Linked DNA regions of Callithrix jacchus. The main gene of each other region encodes a partner of the protein of the gene in region 4 in a complex. Links are inferred from orthologs where the notes say so. Each region holds a gene or a part of one and is shown on either strand. Other genes may lie near its edges.

Evidence for each region.
Region 1: the proteins of TUBGCP6 (region 4) and TUBGCP5 are in contact, whole or in part, in a cryo-EM structure (PDB 7QJE), measured with the Homo sapiens proteins. The link is inferred for Callithrix jacchus from reciprocal best matches to the Homo sapiens genes TUBGCP6 and TUBGCP5. Residues at the interface, in NP_065194.3 of Homo sapiens: Glu290, Ala291, Ser292, Lys293, Arg294, Arg295, Cys296, Trp297, Glu298, Arg299, Val300, Gly301, Cys302, Pro303, Pro304, His306, Arg307, Glu308, Glu309, Pro310, Tyr311, Leu312, Glu314, Lys322, Arg325, Leu326; in NP_443135.3 of Homo sapiens: Asp211, Asp212, Arg213, Trp215, Leu216, His219, Val220, Val221, His222, Trp225, Ser230, Phe232, Pro233, His234, Leu238, His239, Ser240, Asn241, Leu242, Leu264, Val265, Thr266, Glu267, Thr268, Gln269, Arg272, Val302, Thr303, His304, Leu305.
Region 2: TUBGCP6 (region 4) and TUBG2 share a complex: the UniProt entries of both Homo sapiens proteins name them as parts of the gamma-tubulin ring complex. The link is inferred for Callithrix jacchus from reciprocal best matches to the Homo sapiens genes TUBGCP6 and TUBG2.
Region 3: the proteins of TUBGCP6 (region 4) and TUBGCP3 are in contact, whole or in part, in a cryo-EM structure (PDB 6X0U), measured with the Homo sapiens proteins. The link is inferred for Callithrix jacchus from reciprocal best matches to the Homo sapiens genes TUBGCP6 and TUBGCP3. Residues at the interface, in NP_065194.3 of Homo sapiens: Pro65, Arg67, Asn68, Leu71, Met72, Ser74, Phe75, Asp76, Arg78, Asp87, Glu90, Asp151; in NP_006313.1 of Homo sapiens: Pro9, Asn10, Val11, Leu13, Gln14, Glu25, Ala26, Ala29, Gln30, Phe32, Gln33, Val36, Arg37, Ile39, Gly40, Ser41, Phe43, Thr129.
Region 5: the proteins of TUBGCP6 (region 4) and TUBGCP4 are in contact, whole or in part, in a cryo-EM structure (PDB 7QJE), measured with the Homo sapiens proteins. The link is inferred for Callithrix jacchus from reciprocal best matches to the Homo sapiens genes TUBGCP6 and TUBGCP4. Residues at the interface, in NP_065194.3 of Homo sapiens: Leu312, Thr313, Ala315, Gly316, Arg317, Ala319, Phe320, Phe323, Leu326, His327, Glu349, Pro390, Glu391, Ser392, Ser395, Leu396, Glu399, Tyr403, Ser455, Leu456, Leu457, Thr458, Gly460, Phe461, Lys464, Lys465, Arg468, Arg471, Tyr472, Glu475; in NP_001273343.1 of Homo sapiens: Met1, Ile2, His3, Glu4, Leu6, Leu7, Ser10, Gly11, Tyr12, Pro13, Gly14, Ser15, Ile16, Gln29, Phe31, Pro32, Phe33, Leu34, His35, Pro36, Glu38, Thr56, Ile59, Glu60, Thr63, Val66, Gln67, Gln68, Ile84, Arg87.
Region 6: the proteins of TUBGCP6 (region 4) and MZT1 are in contact, whole or in part, in a crystal structure (PDB 6M33), measured with the Homo sapiens proteins. The link is inferred for Callithrix jacchus from reciprocal best matches to the Homo sapiens genes TUBGCP6 and MZT1. Residues at the interface, in NP_065194.3 of Homo sapiens: Met1, Ala2, Ile4, Leu7, Phe8, Asp10, Leu11, Cys12, Ala14, Leu15, Pro17, Ala33, Leu37, Val40, Ala41, Ala44, Leu45, Asn48, Ile70, Leu73, Lys85, Arg88, Leu89, Leu92, Val93, Glu95, Leu96, Leu104, Leu105, Ser109; in NP_001065243.1 of Homo sapiens: Asn17, Ala20, Val21, Thr24, Val27, Leu28, Glu30, Ile31, Ser32, Ile34, Leu35, Asn36, Thr37, Leu39, Glu42, Thr43, Leu44, Ile46, Cys47, Arg49, Leu50, Cys51, Glu52, Gln53, Ile55, Asn56, Pro57, Glu58, Ala59, Leu60.
Region 7: TUBGCP6 (region 4) and NME7 share a complex: the UniProt entries of both Homo sapiens proteins name them as parts of the gamma-tubulin ring complex. The link is inferred for Callithrix jacchus from reciprocal best matches to the Homo sapiens genes TUBGCP6 and NME7.

Annotation. Positions count from the first base shown.
Region 1 is NC_133507.1:1,848,464-1,851,963, reverse strand, and holds part of TUBGCP5 (gamma-tubulin complex component 5), read right to left. Parts: coding exon 3,338-3,500; intron 1,771-3,337; coding exon 1,582-1,770; intron 508-1,581; coding exon 325-507; intron 1-324. UniProt on the Homo sapiens protein: Component of the gamma-tubulin ring complex (gTuRC) which mediates microtubule nucleation.
Region 2 is NC_133506.1:121,228,168-121,232,324, forward strand, and holds the start of TUBG2 (tubulin gamma-2 chain), read right to left. Parts: upstream 2,801-4,157; 5' UTR 2,579-2,800; coding exon 2,530-2,578; intron 2,259-2,529; coding exon 2,146-2,258; intron 1,940-2,145; coding exon 1,772-1,939; intron 1,452-1,771; coding exon 1,383-1,451; intron 886-1,382; coding exon 859-885; intron 1-858. UniProt on the Homo sapiens protein: Tubulin is the major constituent of microtubules, protein filaments consisting of alpha- and beta-tubulin heterodimers. Gamma-tubulin is a key component of the gamma-tubulin ring complex (gTuRC) which mediates microtubule nucleation.
Region 3 is NC_133502.1:27,997,016-28,000,515, forward strand, and holds part of TUBGCP3 (gamma-tubulin complex component 3), read right to left. Parts: intron 2,946-3,500; coding exon 2,810-2,945; intron 1,982-2,809; coding exon 1,913-1,981; intron 1-1,912. UniProt on the Homo sapiens protein: Component of the gamma-tubulin ring complex (gTuRC) which mediates microtubule nucleation.
Region 4 is NC_133502.1:218,817,571-218,821,070, forward strand, and holds part of TUBGCP6 (gamma-tubulin complex component 6), read right to left. Parts: intron 2,630-3,500; coding exon 2,466-2,629; intron 1-2,465. UniProt on the Homo sapiens protein: Component of the gamma-tubulin ring complex (gTuRC) which mediates microtubule nucleation.
Region 5 is NC_133509.1:31,140,268-31,143,767, forward strand, and holds part of TUBGCP4 (gamma-tubulin complex component 4), read left to right. Parts: intron 1-322; coding exon 323-464; intron 465-3,102; coding exon 3,103-3,280; intron 3,281-3,500. UniProt on the Homo sapiens protein: Component of the gamma-tubulin ring complex (gTuRC) which mediates microtubule nucleation.
Region 6 is NC_133502.1:42,552,907-42,557,160, forward strand, and holds the start of MZT1 (mitotic-spindle organizing protein 1), read left to right. Parts: upstream 1-1,454; 5' UTR 1,455-1,486; coding exon 1,487-1,565; intron 1,566-3,821; coding exon 3,822-3,967; intron 3,968-4,254. Other genes in the region: BORA (protein aurora borealis), read right to left, coding at 1-107. UniProt on the Homo sapiens protein: Required for the recruitment and the assembly of the gamma-tubulin ring complex (gTuRC) at the centrosome.
Region 7 is NC_133519.1:33,151,153-33,154,652, forward strand, and holds part of NME7 (nucleoside diphosphate kinase homolog 7), read left to right. Parts: intron 1-44; coding exon 45-211; intron 212-3,500. UniProt on the Homo sapiens protein: Possesses an intrinsic kinase activity. Displays 3'-5' exonuclease activity with a preference for single-stranded DNA. Does not seem to have nucleoside diphosphate kinase activity.

The DNA.
Region 1 (3,500 bases), on a different chromosome or scaffold from region 4:
AGCCTCCCAAGTAGCTGGGATTACAGGCACCTGCCACCATGCCCAGCTAATTTTTGTATTTTTAATAGCGATGGGGTTTCACCATGTTGGCTAGACTGGTCTTGAAATCCTGACCTCAGGTGATCCACCACCTCTGCCTCCCAAAGTGCTGGGATTACAGGTGTGAGCCACCACGCCTGGCCTCAATTTTCTAATATGTAAAATAATATTAGTAAAACTCATAGGAATGGTGCAAGGAAAAATAATATGTATAATTCATAGAAGACTTACTGGCACATAGTTCATTTTATACTAATTCAAATAAAGGTGGCGTCCATATTTTACCGTGAACTATCTTCAGGATAACGTTGTCCTACGGCTTCCTGGAGTTGGACATTAAGAAAAGAGACATTCTGCCAGGTTTCCTTTTCTCTTATTTTATCAAAAATTGATGTGTAGAAGTCATACATGGTATCTCCTCCTTCCATTAAGAAAAAATTCCTCATGGCTTGCAAGTATTCTACCAATCTGGAGAGGAAATGAGTGACCCAAGATCTCTGACATTTGTAAGGCAGGATTAGGGATCAATACCAGGTTTTGGACCCTACGGTTTTTAGTGAAACAAGTTTACAGTCTACCTTTACTAAAATTAGAAATATTAACACCTCTTAAGACTTGTTTCAAGAATAAAAACAGCATAGGTTTTCCTCTCATCATCAGAAGGTGACCTTCTATAACGTTACAGAAAATTAGGCATTCACAGAAATGTAACAAAAAAAATCCAAATCCCATGATTCATGGTGGATTTCCACCATTAATATTTAATATTTGGAATGTTTCTTTCCTGTCTTCTCTTCTATGTGTTAAGAAAACCTAGTTCCTACCATATTATATATTCTACTTTTTAACTGCCATAATTTTTATAAACTTTACAAAGTTCACACATGGGTATATATATGCCATATTTATGGATATGCCATAGCTTAAAGAACTAGTCATCTATCACTAAGTAATTTTGTGTTTTTCATTCTGGTAACAAACTTTGTAACATTTTTCTACAAGTTTTTCCCACATTTCTTTTGGGAAAGATCCTCAGAAATAACCAAATAAGTTTCAAAACATGGTTAAGAAAATATTGATGGTCAATTGATTTCTCTTAAAAAATTGTTTACTGCCGGGCGCGGTGGCTCACGCCTGTAATCCCAGCACTTTGGGAGGCTGAAGCGGGTGGATCACGGGGTCAAGAGATGGAGACCATCCTGGTCAACATGGTGAAACCCCGTCTCTACTAAAAATACAAAAAATTAGCTGGGCATGGTGGCGCGTGCCTGTAGTCCCAGCTACTTGGGAGGCTGAGGCAGGAGAATTGCCTGAACTAAGGAGGCGGAGGTTGCAGTGAGCCGAGATCACGCCACAGCACTCCAGCCTGGGTAACAAAAGCGAAACTCAGTCTCAAAAAAAAAAAAAAAAAAATTGTTTACTGCATATCCATTTCCTACTCTAATAAAAATGGAATTGAAATGTAGGTTTTTAAAACAATCTCAACTGCTCTTCAAGTACAATCATCTATTTACTACTTCCAAAATCAAATTACTCTTTTACCTGTAATCTTTTTTTAGCGTTTGCATGAGATTTCCACAGCAATCCAGATACTGCTTATCAATATGAGGATAGAGGCAGGATCTCAGCGTTAATTCAAAGGTCTGGCATGTCACAGATTCTGATGATCTATCCACACACACATCATCACCAGCAAACTTCTCATGAAAGTCGCTCTGCTCCAAATACATCCTTCAAGATAAAAATGTGAGTCTTCTTTTTATAAGTGGCTGTCAACAAAATTCTCTTAAAACCCCAAATTCCCATTTTTACCTTTAGTCCTGAAGTTACCAACTATTACAGAAAGCGAAAAATCTTTCTCCCCAAAATATCTTTTGAGAGAACCAGTCTCTTTAAGTTGCCATTGCCCTAGGGTCAGGTACTAGAGCCGATCTTTTTTTTTTTTTTTGAGACGGAGTTTTGCTTGTTACCCAGACTGGAGTGCAATGGCACAATCTTGGCTCACTGCAACCTCCACCTTCCGGGTTCAAGCAATTCTCCTGCCTCAGCCTCCCGAGTAGCTGGGACTACAGGCACGCACCACCATGCCCAGCTAATTTTTGTATTTTTAGTAGAGACAGGGTTTCACCTTGTTGACCAGGATGGTCTCGATCTGTTGACCTCATGATCCACCCGCCTCGGCCTCCCAAAGTGCTGGGATTATAGGCGTGAGCCACCGTGCCCGGCCTTAGAGCCGATCTTTGCAGTGATTAAGGCTGCATGTAGCAAATGCTGGCCATTAGACAACCCAAAACTGTGGGTAATAATGACTTACACTACTGGGCAAAGTGCCTAAAAGCAGCTTAAGCCGAGGACATATGGCAATGGGGACCCTGACTCAATGGATGTCCAGGGCCCACACATGGCCCAGAGTTTCAGCACATCCTGGGTAAATGATGACACTTCCAGGGGCCTGAGGGCACAGACACAGGGTCTACCACATGGTGGCAGGGCCAAGTCTGCAGACTTTCACAAATGACAGAATCCAAACTATATACCTGAAATAGGCCAGCACATTTTGTATTCTGCTCATTGTAAAAGACAGGCGGGGCGTGGTGGCTCACGCCTATTATCTCAGCACTTTGGGAGGCCAAGGTGGGTATATCACCTGAAGTCAGGAGTTTGAGACCAGCCTGGTCAACATGATGAAAGCTGAAAATACAAAACATTAGCCAGGCATGGTGGTGCATGTCTGCAGTCCAGATACTTGGGAGGCTGAGACAGGAGAATCACTTAACCTGTGAGGCGGAGGCTGCAGTGAGCCAAGATCGCACCACTGCATTCCATCCTGGGAGACAGAGTGAGGCTCCGTCTCGAAAACAAAACAAGGCTGGGCGTGGTGGCTCACGCCTGTAATCCCAGCATTTTGGGAGGCCGAGGCCATTGGATCACAAGGTCAGGAGATCGAGACCATCCTGGCCAACAGGGTGAAACGCTGTCTCTACTGAAATACAAACAGAATTAGCTGGTGTCCCAGCTACTCGGGAGGCTGAGGCAGGAGAATTGCTTGAACCCAGGAGGCAGAGGTTGCAGTGAGCCAAGATCGCGCCACTGCACTCTAGCTCTGGCGACAGAGCAAGACTCTGTCTCAAAAACAAAAGAAGGAAAAAACAAAACAAAACAGAACAAAACAAAAGGACAGCCTACACGTGTTTTTGTTTTGGCCCTGGAAAGCCCTGCCTTCCAGAAATAAACAGTTACCGAACGTTGCACAGATGACGCCATTTCAATCACTGATAATCTTGCAGGTGGTTATCACCTTGCAAAGTTAATGGCAAGCAGTGGATCGTGAACACCATCCAGTTCAAGATGCCTTTCAGCAATGGACTGCATCTTAATTAGGTTCTCTTTGGTTGCCTGTTGCTCAGTGAGAACATGTGGAGTGGAATCTTCTCCATGTCGAAGCCGTGACTGTACAGATT
Region 2 (4,157 bases), on a different chromosome or scaffold from region 4:
GAACTCCTGGGCTCAGGTGATCCACATGCTTTGGCCTCCCAAAGTGCTGAGATTACAGGCATGAGCCACTATGCCTAGTTGACATTTTCAATTTATGATGGGTTTACATCCTGATAAAGCCATTGTAAGTTGAGGAGTATCTGTACCTGAAGATAGCATCAGATCCCACAGAGTGAAGGCTCAGTTCCACAAGATTCTCCTACTCCTAATGCCAATAGAAGCTTCAGGTTGTGTTAGCTGTGCCTCTGACCAACCAGCTATAAATCAGCGTTCTCAGGACTGCTCCTTGGGTTCAATTCATTTGTTACAGTAGCTCACAGAACTCAAGGAGACACTTATGTTTCCCCATTTGTTATAAAGGATATTTTAAAGGATACAAATAAACAGCCAGATGAAGACATTGAGGGGAGGCTCTGGAAAGGTCTGGAGCACAGAACTTCTGCCCTGTGTGTTGGGTTTGCACCTTCCCAGCATGTGGATGTATTCTTGCTCACCTTCCTGGAAGCCCCCGAACTCAGTCCTTTTGGATTTTTATGGAGGCTTCATTACACAGGCATGATTGATTAAATCACTGGCAATTGATGCGCAACTCAATCTTCACTCCTTCTCCCCTCCCCAGAGGTGAGGGGTGGGCCTGTAAATTCCAACCCTCAGAGCACCAGGCTTGTTTCCCTGGTAACCAGCCCCCAATCCAGTGGCTATCTGGGACTTTCCAAACATCACCTCAATGACATAAGCTCAGATTTGGTTGAAAGGCATTTGTTCCTCCTTAGTACAGTGGTTAGTAAAATTAACTAATTAAATAAAATGACAGATTAAAAGAAAGGGGCGTGTTATAAATAACAGACTGTCTTTCACCTTTATCACTCTGGAGCTGTTCTGGAGCTGTTTCAGAAACCAAGGACAAAAGGTCAAATATTTTAACAAAACATACCCTTATTGCTCAAGTCTCTTAGGAAATTACATGGGTTATAAGAACTGTGAGCCGGGAACATACTGCACCCAGCATGGGGAGAGATGGAGAGGCAGTCTCCAAGGTTCTGGGGGAGAGACTTCGGCATGACTCATTCCCCATTCCCAAAACGCCCATGTCTCAAAGCTTCCTCTTATGTATCCAGGCTGAGGCTCCTTGGGAAGGTTTGGAGCTGGTGAAGAAGCTGAATGACTCATGCCTAAGGGGCCGGTGCCATCCCGATTTATGACTTCCTTGAGAACAAAGACTATATCTTATTTACCTCAATATTCCACATCTGATGCTCCATAAATGGGTTTTGAATTGAATTGCTCCCCTCACATCACCTATTCAGGCCACCTCCTGACCTTTCCCCAGCACTCTTCAGCCTAGCCTCCCTCCCATTCCTTCCCCTGCTCCATAACTTCACCTCTAAACTGTCACTTCCATCTGCTTCTCGGTCTATGATGTCAAAGATGTCTTCATGAATTTTCTCACCCTGTATAGAGATATGGAAAAGGAGTCAGGACAAAGGTTCCAGAGCTCATCTTTTCTCAGCACAGCACCAAGAATTCTGTCTTCCCTGGGATATTGTTGCCACCCTGAAGCAGACCCAGGGCTGTAGCCCTCAACCCAGAAGTGCTACTTTTGCAAATGATTTGCACAAAATTTGCATAAACCTCTCCCTGACTGTCTCTCTTGTTCTGGGCATCCTTTTCTCTCTTATTTTCTGTCAGTCTGGTCAAATTCCTAGTAGCTTGAGCCTGCCTTGCCTCTGGGTGGGAATATCAAAGGTCTCTGGAATGGTGGCCTGGACACCTGGGAAAATCCACTGGCCCAGTTGTTGCCAGCTCCTCCTCCATGCTCCGACAGGTAGATGTTCTCTGGGTTGTAGAGCTTGGCATAGGGGGAGTTGAGGATGGAGTGGATCACCCGGGGCTCCAGGTCCAGCAGCACGGCCCGGGGGATGTAGTGCTCATCATCTGCCTGTCAAGGAGAGTCCAGGAGGAAGACCAATCAGCCAGGGCGGCCCAAGTCCTAAGTCCTCCCAACTCTGGCTCCCTGGGCCCTCCCTCCTCAAGCCAGCCGCCTGGCCCCTTTGCCCAGTGGGGCTCCCCTTCCAGTACCAGGCCACTCCCTTCCCTTCCGGCCCTTTGGGCCACTGCCGCCCCTGGCCAAGTTGCTGGGGGCACCTGGTAGAAAAAGACGTCCTTGCGGTCAGTGCCCTCGGTGGCGAACTCCTCCACGATGCCCTCAGGGCTGATACCATGCTCGGCGCACAGCTGTTTCCAGAACTCGAACCCAACTGGGGGAGGAGGGAGATGCCCGGGTCTGCTAGAGCCTTAAGGCCTGAGGAACCCAGTTTTAGTCTCAGAGGCTGACACGATCAGAGGGTGGACCCAAGATGTGGGGGTCTGGGAGCTGCCCCAGCTCCGGGCTGGAGGCGCAGCTTTGGTCGGGTTATCCAGAGCAGCAGGGTAGGGGGTTCATGGAAGGGAAAGGTGGAAGCCAGGCACTTGGGTGGGACCCGAAGGGGCAGAACCAGAGACCGGCGGGGCCGGCGCTCTCTTGCTCACTCTGGTTGCCGCACTGGCCCAGCTGCAGGGTGATGATCTCCCGGGGCATCACTCTTCAGACGTGGGCGCGCCAGCCCCGGCCTGGCGAGAGTCACGGCTGAGACGAATGCCTGGCAGCCAGGCGCGCCAGACGTGGGGAGCGCGCTCTCTCTTCCCCTCTTGACGCGGATGCTCGGTCTGCGCGTGTGCAACGCAGGCCTTTCCTCGGCCGGCGGGCCGAGGAGCCCAACCTGGGCATCATTTTCTCCCTCAGCAGTCGCAGCTGGAATTCGGCACAGGCGCAGAGTGAGGCCACGCCCGCTCCTGCCCACCGGTCCGCGCCTGCGCAGTGAGACTCGTTGGGGGTGGCAAGGTCGGAACCTGGATGTGTGGGGGGAAGAGAGGGGAGGAGAGGGAAGGAGAGGGAAGGGACGCGGAGGGGAGCAGAGGGACAGGGAGGGGAAGAAAGGGGCGGAGCAACCAGGTGGATGTGGTTGTCCAGGTATAGAGTCACCTACCTATATTGGTAGGTGAGTGACTGTCAGCTTTGCTAGTTCCAGGTGCTAGAAGCCAGCTTTTCTTCTTTTAAATTTCTGTTTTTTAATGGTGTTACAATACACACATACACATGTATGTAACCTTTTTATTTTTTATTTTTTAGAGGGGTCTCGCTCTGTCACCCATGCTGGAATACAGTGGCGCGATCATAGCTCACTGTAGCCTTGAACTTCTGGCTTAAGTGATCCTCCCACCTCAGCCTCCCGAGTAGCTGGAACTACAGGCATGTGCCACCATGCCTAGCTAATTTATATATATGGTTTTTGTTTGTTTGTTTGTTTGTTTGAGACAGAGTCTCGCTCTGTTGCCCAGGCTGGAGTTCAGTGGCACGGTCTCAGGTCACTGAAACCTCCGCCTCCTGGGTTCAAGCAATTCTCCTGCCTCAGCCTCCCAAGTAGCTGGAATTACAGGTGCCCGTGACCACACCCAGCTAATTTTTGTACATTCAGGATTTCACCATGTTGGCCAGGCTGGTCTCAAACTCCTGAACTCAAGCGATCCGCGGGTCTCGGCCTCCCAAGGTGCTGGGATTACGCAAAGTGCTGGGATTACGCAAAGTGCTGGGATTACGGGCGTGAGCTGTGCCTGGCCATTTAAATTTTTTTTTTTTTTTAGACAGTCTCCCTCTGTTGCCCAGGGTGGAGTTCAATGGCACAATCTCGGCTCACTGCAGCCCCCATCTCCTAGATTCAAGTGATTCTTCTGCCTCAGCCTCCCGAGTAGCTGGGACTACAGACACGTGCCACCACGCCTGGCTAATTTTTTTGTATTTTTAGTAGAGACAGGGTTTCACCATATTGGCCAGCTGGTCTCGAACTCCTGACCTCATAATCGACCAGCCTCAGTCTCCCAAAGGGCTGGGATTACAGGTGTGAGCCACCATGCCTGACCTAAAATGTATTTTTATAAAGATGGGGATCTCACCGTGTTGCCCAGGATGGTCTTGAACTCCTGGCTTCAATCAATCCTCTTGCCTCGGCCTCCCAAAATGCTGGGATTACAGGTATAAGCCACCACTCCTGGCTAAAATTTACCATTGTAACCATTTGTAAGCACTGCATACAGTTCTGTGGCTTTCAGTATATTCACAC
Region 3 (3,500 bases), about 190 Mb from region 4:
AAATAATTAATTATCTAGGCAATGTTCAGTTCACCTATTTGGCAAGGCTCTCAGATCTTGTGAAATAATCTACGCAATTATCTGTACTATGGTATCTCTTATGCTATGAAAATAACACGTAATGTACGCAAATTAATAAGGCAGGAGATGTGAAAGTTACTAATTTAAATAATTTGTGAAGCCCAGGCATGGTGGCTCACGCCTGTCATTCCAGCACTTTGGGAGGGAGGCAGGTGGTGGTTAGGACTTTCGAGACCAGCCTTGCCAACAGTTTGAAAGAAACTCCATCTCTACCAAAAATTTTAAAATTAGCCAGGCATGGTGGCTCATGCCTGTAATCCCAGCTACTTGGGAGGCTGAGGCAGGAGAATCACTTGGACCCAGCCAGGAGAGGTTGCAGTGAGCCAAGATCGCACCACCGCACTCCAGACTTGGCGACACAGTGAGACTCTGTCAAAAATAAATAAATAATTTGTTAAAATATCACACTACTTCTTGCATTACAACCATTTTAAATTGTTTAAGACATAAGTCAAAGGAGAAAACGGGGATTTGAATATGATGAGAAATTAAATCTGAAGTGAGGCTATGCACTTAAAATATAGTAGCTTTGATCCATAAAGGCTACACACCCGGAACTTACATGTTAAAAAAAATCAATCCCAGCACTTTGGGAGGCCGAGGCGGGTGGATCACGAGGTCAACAGATCGAGACCATCCTGGTCAACATGGTGAAACCCCGTCTCTACTAAAAATTACAAAAAATTAGCTGGGCATGGTGGCGCGTGCCTGTAATCCCAGCTATTCAGGAGGCTGAGGCAGGAGAATTGCCTGAACCCAGGGGGCGGAGGTTGCGGTGAGCCGAGATCGTGCCATTGCACTCCAGCCTGGGTAACAAGAGCGAAAACTCCGTCTCAAAAAAAAAAAAAAAAAAATCGCACCAGCGGCTCCCACCTTACTGTAGGAGACAGGCTCACCAGTGGCAGGTTTCTTAATCCCAAAAGAAAACAGGGTGAGCGTGCCCTGACGCGATGATTTCAGCAGCGTGATGTGAACCTGAGACGTGGGGAAAGGTGCGAAGCAGGCTCTTCCAGAGCAACCAAGAAGAAATTTTAGAGCCCAACTATATTCCTTCTCAACAAAATACTTTCCCCAAAACCTCAAAGAAATGCAATGTCCTTCTTCAGTATTTCAGATACAAAGATAACTGAAGTAAGTTTAAAGGGGTATCTTGGTCAATGAAATGTACTGGAGTCTGAATACTTTAAAAATGAGCACTGAAAAGAGGTATTTTGAGTGCAGACATGGAAAAAGACGGCGTCCCTGGTCAGCCTTTTATGATTTGGTAAGTGTTATGCAGGTTGAAGCACTATGAACAAAGTACAGCTACTTCATCATCAGTTTAAATGAATACAAACATCAAACTTTCTCTCTGAAGGAAAGTGTAATTCCCCTAAAATACACTTTATAGCTCCTTTCAAATTATCCTAAATTAGTTGCTACAGTCTAAGAATAATGGAATGAAATGAACAATCTATTTATTAAGGACTTGCTGAAACCTATGATAGAACAAATGATATTTTTTGTTTTTTTTGAGACGGAGTTTGGCTCGTTACCCAGGCTGGAGTGCAATGGCACGATCTCAGCTCACCACAACCTCCGCCTCCTGGGTTCAGGCAATTCTCCTAAACAAATAATATTTTTAAGAATTTTTAAAATAATAGAGCAGTTCAGTACTCATTAATAATCATTTAAAATACACACACAATTTTGGCTTAAGTATTCATTCAATGAGTATGTCTTAGATGTCGAGTGATCACTTTAATTAGAAGTCCCCAGAGAAGAAAGCCGATTTCAAACAAAATGTTTAGCAATCCTAACAGCTGCAAATACTATAAAAGGATCATCTTACAGTTGCAATTGGTCCATCCACATGATAATCGAGGCTGAAGACATCCCACCCGGTGTCGCCTGGAGAGACCTAACAGAAACAAACACGTAACTGCAGACACATAACTGAGGACGTGTTGACTCAAAGAAACAGCAGTAAAAGAGCGCCCGATTGTTACAAATTGCTCAACAGTTCCGAGTGCATCTTCTTGTTAACGTCTATAACCTTACCAATTAGACAGCAATGAACACACAGTAGGTGCTCTGCAAACATCTGGCAACAAGCAAGGTATTTCTGAATGAATACTGTGGATACGTGTTTAAAATTCATTGTCATTTGCTTATGACAAAAGCCCACTGGAACTAAGTATGTTCCAAATCCTTAGCTATTCCAACATGACTCTTTGGACATTTTAAGAAAACCAATAGGTTTTGCTAATGATCTTTCATCACAACTAAGCAAATAGTGGGTTTATGTTTAAAATATCCATACCCTTAAGAAAAGTCACATCCTACCAAACTGAAACTAAAAACATCAATTTTCTGATAAATATCATTATATACCATGTCTTGTGCTCCTGTCAGATTCACTGTGAGAAGGAAGCACTATTTTCTAAGCATCTGCAATGTGCTACCAAGCACGGGGCAAGGGTGTCCTGCATTTTCTCCAACTTAAGCCCAGCAGCCCTGCAAGGCTCCCTGCTGTAAGATGAGCGCACAGAGGCACAGAGTGGAGTAGAGGGGGAGCTGGCCATGCAGTAACAAGGGAGAGTGGAATTCCTACTCAGGCTGCCCAGTTTCCAGAAACATAATGACCAGCTGTGCCTGAAGTAACATGGAAAGCACTCGCTACGACACCCCAGCCCAGGGGTCCTCAGGGCCGGGGCAGCGTTCCCAACACACGGGGCCACAGTAGTACCTCCAGCAGCCGCACGTCCAGCCTTCGCAGGATCTCAGGACTGTCAAACTGTGCGTTGGTGGCTCTGACCGCAGTTTCTAGAATCCCAGTCAGGTTATGCTGATATAAAGTCGTAGCTGGACGGACAAGTTCTGGTCTTAACAAATTTTTTAAAAATTAAAGAAAATATTACTTTAATTCTTAACTTTAAAAAAGCTTAAAAACTATAAAAATTAAGAGTTCAAATCATAACAACTCAAAAGAAAAATGGGACCAATACAATAATGTGGCAACGAAAGCCTCATGGCATTAACTGCAAACAGGGCTTACCAATTATTGTGGAGTTACATTTCTTTACAGTCTCAAAAATACTGGCCTGTAATCCCAGCACTTTGGGAGGCCGAGGTGGGTGGATCATCTGAGGTGAGGAGTTCAAGATTAGCCTGGCCAACACAGTGAAATCCTGTCTCTACTAAAAATACAATAATTAGCCAGTTGTGGTGGTGCACACCTATAATCCCAGCTACTAGGGAGGCTGAGGCAGGAGAATCACTTGAACCCAGGAGGCGGAGGTTGCAGTGAGCACCACTGCACTCCAGCCTGGGCAACAGAGTGAGACTCCATCTCCAAAAAAAAAAATGATTCTGATTCAGCTTAAACTGAAAGTACTTAGATGTGCTATGCTATACACATTAACAAAGTTTTCAAACTT
Region 4 (3,500 bases):
CCCCGGCGGTCAGGACAATGCCACCACCACCATTGTGCTGAGAAGCAGGGAGCCCCCGGCAGTCAGGACAATGCCACCACCACCATTGTGCTGAGAAGCAGGGAGCCCCCCGCAGTCAGGACAATGCCACCACCACCATTGTGCTGGGAAGCAGGAAAGCCCCCCGCAGTCAGGACAATGCCACCACCACCATTGTGCTGAGAAGCAGGGAGCCCCCCGCAGTCAGGACAATGCCACCACCACCATTGTGCTGGGAAGCAGGAAAGCCCCCCGCAGTCAGGACAATGCCACCACCACCATTGTGCTGAGAAGCAGGGAGCCCCCACGCAGTCAGGACAATGCCACCACCACCATTGTGCTGGGAAGCAGGAAAGCCCCCCGCAGTCAGGACAATGCCACCACCACCATTGTGCTGAGAAGCAGGGAGCCCCCGGCAATCAGGACAAGGCCACCACCACCATTGTGCTGAGAAGCAGGGAGCCCCCGGCGGTCAGGACAATGCCACCACCACCATTGTGCTGAGAAGCAGGAAAGCCCCCAGCAATCAGGACAAGGCCACCACCACCATTGTGCTGGGAAGCAGGAAAGCCCCCAGCAATCAGGACAAGGCCACCACCACCATTGTGCTGAGAAGCAGGAAAGCCCCCAGCAATCAGGACAAGGCCACCACCACCATTGTGCTGAGAAGCAGGAAAGCCCCCAGCAATCAGGACAAGGCCACCACCACCATTGTGCTGAGAAGCAGGAAAGCCCCCGGCAGTCAGGACAATGCCACCACCACCATTGTGCTGGGAAGCAGGGAGCTAGCCATCCCTGGAGGAATCTATGATGTCAGGAAAGCTCAAAGGGGGCACATGCTCCTCTCCAGGCCCTGCAGGAGCCCCAACACTGCATCTGAGAGCACTCAGCTCCTGGCCAGCCCTGACTCTCTCACCTAACACTCCCCAAACCGGTATCAACAGAATCCCCAGTGGACTGGATGTGAACAGGGCATTCCATGGCCAAACAAACATTTTGGGAAATGTGTACTCTTTGTTTTTTTAGACAGAGTCTCACTCTGTTGCCCAGGCTGGAGTGCAGTAGCACAATCTCAGCTCACTGCAACCTCTGCCTCCTGGGTTCATGCGATTCTCGTGCCTCAGCCTCCCGAGTAGATGGGATCACAAGCAAGTGCCACCACACATGGCTAATTTTTGTATTTTTAGTAGAGATGAGGTTTCACCATGTTGGCCAGGTGAAATTCCTGACCTCAAGTGATCTGCCCATCCTGGCCTCACAAAGTGCTGGGATTACAGGTGTGAGCCACCGTACCCAGCCAAAATGCATATTCTCTACCTGGGTTCTGGAAGTTATGAAAAGATACCACCACATTACAGACTGAGAGGTCCTGAGTGCAGAGGCCTCTGGACCCAGATGAGCCAGAGAGTGGCTACTGCATCCAGAGAGCAAGCTGCTGGCACCAGGCAGGGAAAAGCTGCTGCAGCTGCAGCTTCTCATCACCCAGAGTGCCACTCCCACCTCCTCCAGACATGGATGGAAAAGGCTCCTCCATCAGCACCCCACCTCCTCCAGACACGGATGGAAAAGGGTCCTCCATCAGCACCCCACCTCCTCCAGACACCGATGGAAAAGGGTCCTCCATCAGCACCCCACCTCCTCCAGACACGGATGGAAAAGGGTCCTTCATCAGCACCCCACCTCCTCCAGACACGGATGGAAAAGGGTCCTTCATCAGCACCCCACCTCCTCCAGACACGGATGGAAAAGGGTCCTCCATCAGCACCCCACCTCCTCCAGACACGGATGGAAAAGGGTCCTCCATCAGCACCCCACCTCCTCCAGACACGGATGGAAAAGGGTCCTCCATCAGCACCCCACCTCCTCCAGACACGGATGGAAAAGGGTCCTTCATCAGCACCCCACCTCCTCCAGACACGGATGGAAAAGGGTCCTTCATCAGCACCCCACCTCCTCCAGACATGGATGGAAAACGCTCCATCAGCACCCCACCTCCTCCAGACATGGATTGAAAAGGCTCCATCAGCACCCCACCTCCTCCAGACATGGATGGAAAAGGGTCCTTCCTCAGCACCCCACCTCCTCCAGACATGGATGGAAAAGGCTCCATCAGCACCCAGTGCCCGGTAAGCATTTCCTGGCACTGACCACACACCCTGCCAGGCAGCTCTCAGGCACCTCTGACTGATAGTGAGTACATATCTTAGCTGTCCCCTACTGCTCTGCCTGGAAGATATGATCTGGTTACTGGCACAGGGAGGTGAGATCCCCTTAAAGGCTGCTGGTCTCTGCCCCTCTGCATTTGGACACTACCTTAACCGAAACTTCCAGGTCCCTAACCCATCACAACTGCCTGGGCCCCTGAGACAGCAATGCCCCTCACACACCCAAGGCCATGCTCACACAGGTGTAGGGCATTGCATGCCAAGGCAAAGAAGGGCACGCACCATCCAACTCGCTCCCAGCACCTCCGCTTGCTGGCCTCGTAGGTGAGTGCGGCTTCCCACAGGTCCATGTCTGGGGTCACGCTGGGCTCAGACTGGGAATCAGGAGTCAGGTTGGATGCTGACTGGAACCCTTCATCTTCCCAGTGATCCACACTCTGTGGGACCTGGAGACACAGGGAAGAACAAACCGCCACTCATTCCTGTGTCCACATTTCATCCAAGGGCAATAAGAATTCCACAAACTTTATCCACAAAGTTCCATTTACTTCTTAGAGGCAAAGACCTAGCAAAACGTTTCTCTGTTTTTCTCAAGCACAGGTGTACCATACAATGTTTTTCCCCAATGAGCCATTTAAGGAATTAAACAAAATAATTTGTTTTGTTTTGTTTTGTTGTTTTTTTGAGATGGAGTTTCGCTGTTGTTACCCAGACTGGAGTGCAATGGCGCAATCTCGGCTCACCGCAACCTCCGCCTCCTGGGTTCAAGCAATTCTCCTGCCTCAGCCTCCCGAGTATCTGGGACTATAGGTGCGCACCACCATGCCCAGCTAATTTTTTGTATTTTTAGTAGAGACGGGGTTTCACCTTGTTGACCAGGATGGTCTTGATCTTTTGACCTCGTGATCCACCCGCCTCGGCCTCCCAAAGTGCTGGGATTACAGGCTTGAGGAATCGCGCCCGGCCCAAAATAATTTGTTAAGACTACAAATTTCCAATTCCATATAACACATAATCCTCAGTGGAACCTACAATGACTTTCTGAGATGCTTTCTGAAAAGATGCTTTTGAGAAACTTTCTGACCATTCCATTATAGGAAATTCCATTTTAGGAAACCTAGCATAAAAAAAAATCACACTAAACATTAAAAAATTACTGTCCACTGTCTGGGTGCGGTGGCTCACACCTGTAATCCCAGCACTTTGGGAGGCTGGGTGGACATATCACAAGGTCAGGAGTTTGACACCAGTCTGGCCAACATAGTGAAACCCCATCTCTACTAAAAATACACGTCGGGCATGGTGGCTCACACCTAT
Region 5 (3,500 bases), on a different chromosome or scaffold from region 4:
TCACTTCTTTTATTTTGGAGGTGGAGTCTCACTCTGTCACCCAGGCTGGAGTGTAGTGGTGCATTTTTGGCTCACTGCAACCTCTGCCTTCCAGGTTCAAACAATTCTCGTGCCTCAGCACCCTGAGTAGCTGGGACTACAGGTGCACACACCACCACACCCAGCTAATTTTTTATTTTTAGTAGAGACAGGAGGGTCTCACTCTGTTGCCCAGGCTGGTCTTGAACTCCTGCAGACTCATTTTGTGAATGTTACTTGCTGGGTCTCTGGTTCTTGATTAACCAAGTCGTTATCTTTTCTTTTTTTCTTTTCTTTATCACAGCAGATGCTACTCAGGCAAGAGAAGGTCCTTCTCGGGAAACTTCTCCCCGGGAAGCCCCTGCATCTGGCTGGGCAGCCCTAGGTCTTTCCTACAAAGTACAGTGGCCACTACATATTCTTTTCACCCCAGCTGTCCTGGAAAAGTGAGTATTTCTGAGTTTCTCTCACAGGTAAATATAACCCACCTTCTTGCAAGGGAAAAAACTAGCAGGAATAGAATTACTGGGAGAACAAGCTGTGGTAGCACATGTCTGTAATCCCAGCTACTCCAGAGCCTGAGGCAGGAGGATTCCTTAAGCCTAGGATTTCAAATTCGTCCTGAGCAATATAGTGAGACCCCATCTCTTAAAAAAAAAAAAATGAATGGGAGCAAGATAGCTACCCAACTAGTTTTTAACAATCTGTAAATCAAAAGTTGTAAACGCCTATGCCTTCACGGGGTAAACTGATCACATTAGTAAGTGAAGCTCAGATATGAGACACAGGGAGTGGTGGGTGTTGAAATCCACGGGAGGGCATATACCTACTTCAAACCGTTGTTTTGTTAATTGCCAAATAACAAGCAGTTTGTAGGCTGCCAGTTTGTGACCTCTGGAAAATAAGGTCTCAGGTACCATGTCGAGATAATTGCCCTTGATGATTCCCTCATGCCTGACAAGGTCTCTGTCCCTCAATTTTGTAATATTTTTTGTTGATTTACTTGGGAAAGTCCTCCACCCTGCATGTTTGCTGTGGATGTCAGCCGCTGGGGAAAAGGTTGCCTCCTTACCCTCAGGGAGAGATAACAGGGGCAGCCAAGCTTGGGGATGGAGTAAAGGAGCTGACCAAGTTGGAGTCTCTTTCTGTCAGGTCACCCTTGCTCTTTATCATGAGAGCTTGCCAAGTGTTACTGCTTGGCTTGGTCAGGACCTAATGTCCCCAAACCAGAGATCTACAGAAAAGAGGAAAGAGAAGCAAATGTGGCTGGTCATGGCTTCTGAAATCTACCCTCACACCGTATCTAGGAACTTCCCAAACCCAATTACTGGTCAGAGAACTGGCCCCTGGCCTGGAAGGAGACTTGAAGCTGTCATACTCAGTGAAACCAGAGGAATGAAGAAAAGGGAAACAAACAAAAAGGCCATCTCTTCCTCCAGCCACCACTCTTATTCCTTCCTGTTCTTCTTCCTAGCCCTCTCCACGTTTTTGAGGTAGATAAGCTTAGGGTAGAATAGACTGGGCATAAACTAGAAAAGATGAGGCTGGTTCAGGGAGAAAATTCTATGGCAAATTCAGAGCCCATGGCCCAGCTAAAAGCAAGTGGCATGGACCCTGTACAAAGAACTTCCAAAGATCTTCAGCTCCCAGGATCCTGTAGGCCAACAGCCTACTTACCTCCTAACTGGATATGCTCTCAACACCCTTGAAGAAATCAAGTTTAGAAGTATTTTTTTTTCATTTTCATTATAAAAATTTATAAATCTAAACAAAAATATAGACTATAACAAACTCCTGTGTCCTCATTATTCACCTTCAGTAACCATCAACATTCTACTACTAGTTTCATCTGTCCCTCCCCCACTTTTGTTGTTGGAGCTGTATAAAGCAAATCATAATCCATTCATTCTGCCAATAAACAATTGAAAAAGGCATATTTCAGCAGGACTAGAATGCTATTATCACATCCAATAAGATTAACAATAATCCCTGTAATCTGATATCCAGCCTACATTGAAATTTCTCCAGTTATCAAAAAAAATCTTTATGTTTGGGTTTGTTCAAATCAGTATCCAAACAAGGTCTATTATTTTATTATGTTTGTTCCTTTAGAAATAGATAATTTTTAAAACCAAACAGAATGGGACTGTCTTCTGCAAACCTGCCTACAAACAGGTAAATAAATCCAGTTCTACCAAGAATCAGCTGTTCTTCCCATGTGTCGTTTCAGTATGGGGCTTCAGCATTAAGCAGTTAGCTCCTGAGCTTGCAGGGAGGCAGGAGTTTATCTTAGAGGGAAGCTTTGGGCTTCAGGGACAGAGAATCAGCTTCGTCATAATCCTTGATTCATAACACACTATTTTTTTTTTTTTTTTTTTGAGACAGGATCTTGCTCCATTGCCCAGGCAGCACACTGCAGCCTTGACCCCTGGGCTCAAGCGATATTCCTGCCTCAGCCTCCCGAGTAGCTGGGCTGTAGGTGAGCACCACCATACCTGGCTAATTTTTTAAATTTTTAGTAGAGATGGCATCTCACTATGTTGCTCAGGCTGGTCTTGAACCCCTGGGCTTAAGCAATTCTTCTGCCTTGGCCTCCCAAAATGCTTGGATTACAGGCATAAGCCCACCACATCTGGCCTGTTTAAAGAATTATAAAAAAAGCTTTATGTAATCTTTTGTGATTTACCTTTTTCATGCAAAAATCATATTGCTAAGAAGCAATATGAGTCAACTATTCAAAAAGGGATATTTCAACAGAACTATAATGCCATTGTCACAGCCAATAAAATTAACATTTCTCCCTTATAATCTGATATCCAGTCCATATTGGAATTTCTCTAGTTACCTTAAAAATTGCAGAGATGGGGTTTCACCTTGTTATATAGCTGGAGTTCATTCATTTTGGCTGCTATATGATATTCCACTGTATAGATAAATTACAATTTATTTGTCTACATGTCTAGTCATTCTTTCCTTACTGCTTTTTTCTGAGATGGGTGGGTAGCACAAAGTCCTAGAGTCTAATGTGGGGGAAGTACAGGGGGTGAAATTTTCATCTTGAATATCCTGTTGTTTCTGTCCTAGATACAACGTTGTTTTCAAATACTTATTGAGCGTGCGCCGGGTGCAAGCTGAGCTGCAGCACTGCTGGGCCCTACAAATGCAGCGCAAGCACCTCAAGTCTAACCAGACTGATGCGATCAAGTGGCGCCTAAGAAATCACATGGCATTTTTGGTGGATAATCTTCAGTACTATCTCCAGGTCTGTGCTGAGAGATGAGTAGAAGGAAGGGATACGGAAACAAGCCTAGGAGGTTGGCAGGGAGTATCAAAGAGGGACTACAGTTTTGTATTTGATAAAATGGTGGGGTTTGAGAAAATTCAGGAGTTATATCACTAGGCATGTTTCTTTAAAAAGCATTTTATTTTGTTACTTTTTAGACACAGGGTCTTACTCTATTGCCGAGGCTGGAGTGCAGTGG
Region 6 (4,254 bases), about 180 Mb from region 4:
TCATGGAGATTAGAATAATCACTAGGACTTTCAAAAGGATTTAAAACAGGGATCCTTCCTGGAGTTTCTGGTGTTATTTGCATTTTTGATTCCTTGACATCTCCCATAGCACAAAGAGGAAACTAAAAAGAAATCGAGTATGCATGTTAAAATTACCGAGTCCTATAGATATTAACTATTAAAATGTATTCGACAAACACATGTGTCACAAAAACAACTCAAAACTTAACACTATTGAGGCTATGTTAGAGCTTACAAAAAAAGTATCACAAATTTTCTCAAGTGATCCTCAAAATAACCTTGGAAGCTACAGCAGTAAGTTATTAGTGATATCATTTTGCGAAAGAATTAATAAGCTCAGAGAAGTGTAGTGGCTTATACACAGCAGTCAACAAATATGAATGAGTTCAGATCTGCCGTGAGTTCAGAGACTGTACAACCCTACGCCGCCACTCTTTCTGGTGCCCCTCTCTTCCACACCTACTTCCTGAGGCAACTAAAGGTTACAAGAGGCAAGATCTCTTCTCAACTGAAGGACTTATATCTACAATTTTTTTTTTAATTCATCATCTCATGTCTCAACACTGTGAACATCCTTCGGATACCCTATCCAGCTACAGTTGCTATTAAACAGTTGTTTGTAGGAAGCAGGTAAGAGATGAGGAAGCTTGTGCTGAGTTCTATCCAGAGAAGTATGATTGACAGGGGTTAGGAAATTAACTGGTTGGGTGCCCTTTCCTCCAAAATCCTCCCTTCGCCAACCCCCCCGCCCCAGCACAGAAAAAGAGACTGCATTACTTCCGATCGAAGGAAGCTGTAGAGGCTACAACTTGGGAGGGAGGTGGAGAAGAATAATCTACTTCTGGAAGGTTGAAATGCAGCCGGTTTCCTCGGGTGGAGCGCGGAGGAAGTGTCACCCACAACCCTACGCGGCCACTCTTTCTGGTGCCCTTCTCTTCCACACCTACTGCCTGACTGCTCCCATTCACCAGGGGCGAGCGGGCAGGCAAGAGTTGAGCCGGAAAAGAAAGCTCTCCATTCAAACAGGAGAAAAGGGTGGGGTCCACAAAGAACGTACCTACCGGTGCATACAAAAGGAAGCCCCCAATACCTTCTCCAGCGAGCTCCCGTGGACCGAGCCAGCTTCCACGACAAGCAGACTCTTTAACTCCCCGCTTCCGCTGTGTCTTCGGCCAACCAGGGCACGGGACTTGTGAACGACTGACCAATAGCATCGCCCCGCCGTCCGCGAACCAGCCAATCGCACGGAGGCCGCTTAGGAAATTCGAATAGCAACTCCCCGCTCCACGTTCCGCGCAGAGGAACGAGGCTCCAAATTCAAATCAACGTAGCCTCACGCCGGCGGCAAGCGCGAGGGGCGGAGCCTGCCCGGCGTGAGCCGGGACGCGCGGTGTGATTGCCCCGCAGAGAGGAAGGCGCTCCAGTTCCGGGTCAGGCCCTTCTCCCGCCTCCCTCGGCCTCAGTCATGGCGAGTAGCAGCGGCGCCGGGGCGGCGGCGGCAGCCGCGGCGGCGAATCTGAATGCGGTGCGGGAGACCATGGACGGTGAGTGCCCGTTGCGCCCTCTTTACCTTGCCTGCCTTCCCAGAGCCGAGGCCCCCAGGCGGAGCGGAGCCTGGAGAGGACTCTAGGTCCTCCTCCTGCCCCAAACGGCATCGTCAAAGATCTTTGGAAGAGACCTGCCAGGGCTGTAGGACTAATGGCCTTATCCCTGGAGAGTTGTCTCCGCCACTGCGTAGTTTGTCGCGCGCGCTAGGCGTTCCGGCCCCCTGGTCAGCCCGTTGCGCACCGCGTCCCTCTCGCGCCCTACCCGGAATGCAGCGCCCCCTCTATCCCGCGTCCCCGGTCCGCGTGACCCGCCCGCTCTCCTGTGGTGACGGCCCCACGCGCCACGCCTACCCCACGCAGATACCCGTTCTCTTCTGCGCGCCGCGCCCCACCCAATTCCCGCGGGCGTGCCGTGCGGGGCGCTTCGGGGGTCCCCAAGGCTGAGATCCCGGCGTGGACCGGGGCCAGGTGTTTGGTCACCGCTATGCCTCGTGTCCTTGGCACTTCTGTAGGCGCCGTTAATATCCTGCGAATGAACAAGTTCAGAATTGTCCTAGTTTCCTCTTGAAGCGGGTGATGCCAGTGCTCAAGTGCTGTGAGTGTCGCCTGTTTTTGGTCCGGAGGCACCTGCGAGTGAAGCCTACACAAGCGTGGTAGAACACTAATAGTGTCTTGAGATTTCCCTCTCTCCATCCTTTAATGTCGGTTCTGCCACTTTGTGCCCCTGTGCTGAGCTTGGACTAGATACTTAAACATCATTGAGCCTGTTTGGCTTTTTTTTCTGTAAAATAAAATCATACCTCTTAGAGTTGTTGTGAATATTTAAATAAGACAACCAGGTAAAAGCATATCTTGGTTGATCCATTATTTTTCATATTATATCAGATGTCATTTCCCTCGTAGTCTTCTTACTTTGTCTCCTTTTTACTCATATCCACCTGTATATGAGTGTGTGATCCATGTTAAATGTTGTCATTTGCAGTGGGCCTAGACATTTTAACTTCACCCAAAGAATAAAAGGGCTTGCATAAATGAAAGGTGACAATGGAATCTTTATCCTACCCAATGCGATAGATATAAATAGTAATTAAATGGTTGCCCTAACAAAAGGTAGACATGTAACCAATTTGTAGGTATATGAGAATTTACTGTGAATAAAGGTAGCATCTCAACTGGGTGGGGAAAGCTTAGGTCGTTCAATAAATTTTACTGGGGCAACTGGCTCATTTCTGGGAGGAAAAGTTAGATCCTATTTTCCACCAAAACTCCAGGGAGATAAATACCTACTGGGGGGTATTGGGAAATAAACTTTCAAGTGCTGGAAGAGAATACTGGTGGATATAATCTTTGCATGGGGAATAACTTTCTAAGCTTAATGCCAAGGGGAAATGATGTAGGAAACAATAGATAATATGTTGACAGTTAAAATATTCTAAACTCTCTGCGAAGCAATCATAAAATTCAATGGAACCAGTGTACTTACAACCTGTAATGGAAGGGATTCTTGGAAAATCACATTGGAAACCAGGTTTCTCTGTTAGTACTTCTCATATTAAAGACAAAGACTTCTACCAAGTACAATAAAATGCAGCACTATACAAATGAAGTTTAAAAAATATAAGGTTTCATTTTTATTATTAGATTCAACAGACATGATTACACTGAAAAGTTTCTAAACACTTTTAAAACCTTAAATATGTACTTTTTTCTCTTTTTTTGCCTAATATATGTCAATTCAGCAAGTTAAATATGTATATTACTGACTGAGCAGTTCTATTTCTAGAAATTTATCCTAATGAAATAAAATATAGTATGTACAGATTCTTAATATTATTTAATGTGGGAAACATGAGAGCAGCCTAACACCTAACTGAGTAGTTAAACATAGTGTTTCCATCAAATGGAATGATACTCAACTAATTAAACTGCATTTTAAAAGAATACTAAAAAATAAGAAAGTGTTCAGAATTATCCTAAGTGTGGTGGATATGTGTTAGATAGATATTAAATGAGTGCTAGAATATATACCAAGATGGAAAAGGCAGTTATGTGACGTGAAGTTGTAAGTTTATATTTAAGTTTCTAAGATGAAGTAAAGGCAAGACAGTATTACATGCAGATTTCCAAAACCTGGGATGCTATGCTAATTCCCTGGTATTGTGCAGTGATATATAAATTAATAAAAGTACTATGTGCATGTTTTTCAATGCCATAAGCTTTTTTTTTTTAAGTTTTCTTTATATCTTTTTTCAGTTCTGCTTGAGATTTCAAGAATTTTGAATACTGGCTTAGATATGGAAACTCTGTCTATTTGTGTACGGCTTTGTGAACAAGGAATTAACCCAGAAGCTTTATCATCGGTTATTAAGGAGCTTCGCAAGGCTACTGAAGCACTAAAGGTTAGAGATTCCTATTAGTTCATTCTAAATAAAGATGCTTCTATTTAGAAAAATATTAATGAAGTTATGGGGAACATCCTGGTTAAAAAAGATTAAACTAACATCCAACACCACCAGAAGACAAGGAGCTAAATAGCGTATGTTCATATCACAAAAATTACTACTACCATGGACCATGTTGTATTTTCCCAGAAGTCTCTATTTTTAGAATTGTGCTGTGTCATGAGTAAAATTGTGCCTGTTCCAGAAAAGATACATTCAAGTCCTAACCTGTGGTCCCAAAGTCA
Region 7 (3,500 bases), on a different chromosome or scaffold from region 4:
TTAATAATTTTTTTTGTTCATTATATTGTTGTTTCTGGTTCTAGCATGATGTAAAGAATCATCGTACCTTTTTAAAGCGGACCAAATATGATAACCTGCACTTGGAAGATTTATTTATAGGCAACAAAGTGAATGTCTTTTCTCGACAGTTGGTATTAATTGACTATGGAGATCAATATACAGCTCGCCAGCTGGGAAGTAGGAAAGAAAAGTAAGAAAATAATTATGTATTCTTTTTCCATTCTCTGACTTTAAGCCCAAAGTCAGGCAGAATTAAGACTGGGAGGTTTAACCATAATGAGGACAAATAGGACCTGGAAAATGGTTGTCTTCATTCTTTCTTTTTCTTTTCTTTTTAATTGAAAAATAATTGATAATATCATAGTTGTTTATGTCTCATCTGACTTAATCATATTTATGTCTCCTGTGGCACTTAGCACGTCTCCTTCCATAATGCAAGCACCTTCTCTGTATTAGCTGAATGAATTCATAAATCACAATTTAAAAATCTATTATTTATTCTTTCCTTTTTCCATTTTCTCCCTGTTTTCAAATGATGATCTTTGATATAGTTGACCAGGAAGATTTTGTCTAGATTGTTTGTAACTAATGCTGTCTGTTCTTGAGCTTTATTAACAGACATATATATCTAAGAAATGTTGATCAACTGATCAATTGAAAAATGACAATATGAGTGTTGTAAAAAGGAAAAAGGAAAGAAACCATATAAAGAAATTGTGATACTGGGAGACTGATCTGTCTTGTTTGTAACTGTATCTCTAAAAACTGTTATAGCGATACCTCAAACAGTAAATTATTCAGAGTGTGACCCACAAAAGTTTGTTAAATAAATGAGTGAATAAATTGATGTCATCGAAATGTCTGGAGTATGGTATGTCAAAGGAAGGGTTTCCCAATGGCTGGCATCCCGCCTCCTTCTCTTCCTCCCACTGCATGTGGCTCATTCTATGAAAGACAAACTGTAGCATGATGCCTCCACCTGTGTCTCTATTCTCTCTATTGTTTGTCAAAACTGCATTTATCATTCATTTTCTCAGTTTTGATTTAGAAGAGATACAGTCATCTGTAAAAGGGGTTAAGAAAAAAATTAGAAGAGAGAACAATTTGAAGATGCAATTGAAAGTTAGACTTACAGAAAACTAGGACTTTTGATAATGTTTTTCTTCCGAATATTGATTTTCAATATTAGCACAATGGCATTTTAATTTTCAGTCTCTGCATTTATGAGTTTCCAGTTTCTAAGACTAGAATTAATTATATTTGAAATGAAATTTTAATTCCTTTGTCATCTTTCTTGGCTCTGATTGCTGTAGCTTATATTTTATATGGTTTGGGGAGATTTTTTTTTCCTGCAGAGTGATTGGTATTGTAACTAAAAATAGGGATTATTAGTAGAAGTTAAGACTGTATGTATAAAAGGCTCCAAAAATGACTTAATTCAATAGGGAAAACAAATCAATCAAACTGTTTTTTGAAATCTACTACTCAAATGATTAGCTGATTGCATAGCATCTGAGTCACTCTCATAATAACATGGTATCTCTTTCTGTGACTTCCATAGTCTTTCTATACAAGCACTTTATAATTCTTGAGGTGACTGGATTCTCAGTGTGGCTGTTAGTACACAAATGGTGTTAGTACACAAATGGATCAGAGGGGTGGTGAATGCCTCATAAAAAAGGAAGACCAAAGACTCCCTTTGAAATAGGACAAACATTTCAGATATTAAATAAGGATCTTTTAATGTTATGAGATCTTATGTAAAAGTCTATGGGATTAAGGAAATGCCAACCATAATTCCTTTATTTAAAACTAATAAATATATGTAGCATTCGTTTATGGAGCACATACTATATGCCAGTCATTACAATACTCACTTTACATACACCTCAGTTCAAGACTACTTTATTTTATTATTATTATTTTTGAGACAGGGTCTGCTGGCTCTGTCACTCAGGCTGAAGTGAAGTGGCATGATCATAGCTCACTGTAGCCTTGACTTCCCAGGCTCAAGTGATCCTCCCAGGTCAGTCTCCTGGGTAGGTGAATCTACAGCCCTGCACCACTATGCCTGGCTAATTTTTTGGTGTTTTGGTAGAAATGCAGTTTTGCCATCTTGCTTACGCTGGAAGACTACTTTAAATATTTAAACTAGCAAAATAAGTGACTTAGGGAGGCAGGGTTAAGAGTCTGACCTAATAAAAATAAAATAGCCATTAAAATTATAATTTACATATTTTAATTCTGATTTGACAGAAGTGAATGTTGTTAAATCTATTTTATAGAATGGGTAAGTAACTTGTCTGTAGTCACACAGCTAGAAAGTAAAGGGAAATTGTATTTTTTGTCTAAAATTCATTCTCTTTCTACTAAACCTCTAATTAATAGGGCAGGTGCTGTTGAATGGGACTGATTTGAAAACAGGAGGAACGGAAGAATTCTATTTTAATATGAAGACAAATTTGAAGTATTTGGGCTTCATATAGTTAATGAAAATATATACAGTATATATTTTACTAACTCAAATTGATTCACCATCTTCTCTTCTTACTCTTTCTTAACTCCATATGGGTTAGAAAATCCAGCAGCCCTTTGGGTGATTTAAATAAATTTCTTCGAAACCCAAGAGTTTCAAAAATGTATTGTTTTATTTAAATGGCAAAAAGTAAAGATATGAAAATATATGTATATGTCTGTCAGCATTCTACAGAAACACCTTCTGTATAATAACTGATTTAGTCTAGTTCTCAGTTTTGTATAGTGTTGAGGAAAATTTATGAACGAATTACACTTTAGTCTTTTGTTTCTGTAATAAAGCTGGTAGTGAGGATGATCAGTGAAATTGATCCCATGGAGCTAACTGAGGAGCAGTTATCCAGATAATTTAATATAATTCAATTTAACTCATGAACTAGCTTCAGCTTTCCAATTCCCTTCGACTGTAGAAATCTGACATTTGGTTCACATTTCTATCCTCTCTATATAAAGATCCTCTAATCACATGGATGAAGGTTACAAGTTGTCAATGAGTCAGTCTTTGATTTTAATTTTAGCTAGTAATCAATTGATGCTTTATGACTCTGTTGTTTAGTTGTAGAGACACAATACAATTTGTGTCTTTCTAAAAATTTATTACCTCAAACCAGAAATAATTAAAAAGTTTTCATATGAAGAGTCAATATATATATGTATGTGTGTACATGAATGATAGAGGAATTTTATATGACAAGGAAGCTATTCCCCATATGATAAATGAGGTATTAAATGTTTACTTTGGTAGCTTTATAGCTATAGTAAGAAGTTTATAAAAATTAATGAAAAATAATGCCAGTATCCTATTTAAGAATTCATTAATTTTAAGTACTGAGCCACATATTTACATTCAGCAGTCCCATTCCTTTTGAATCTCAGCCGGAAAGCAAACCATCTAATCAAATGAAAGGGAGAAAGGTGAACAACATTATAGTAAATGCTAAATA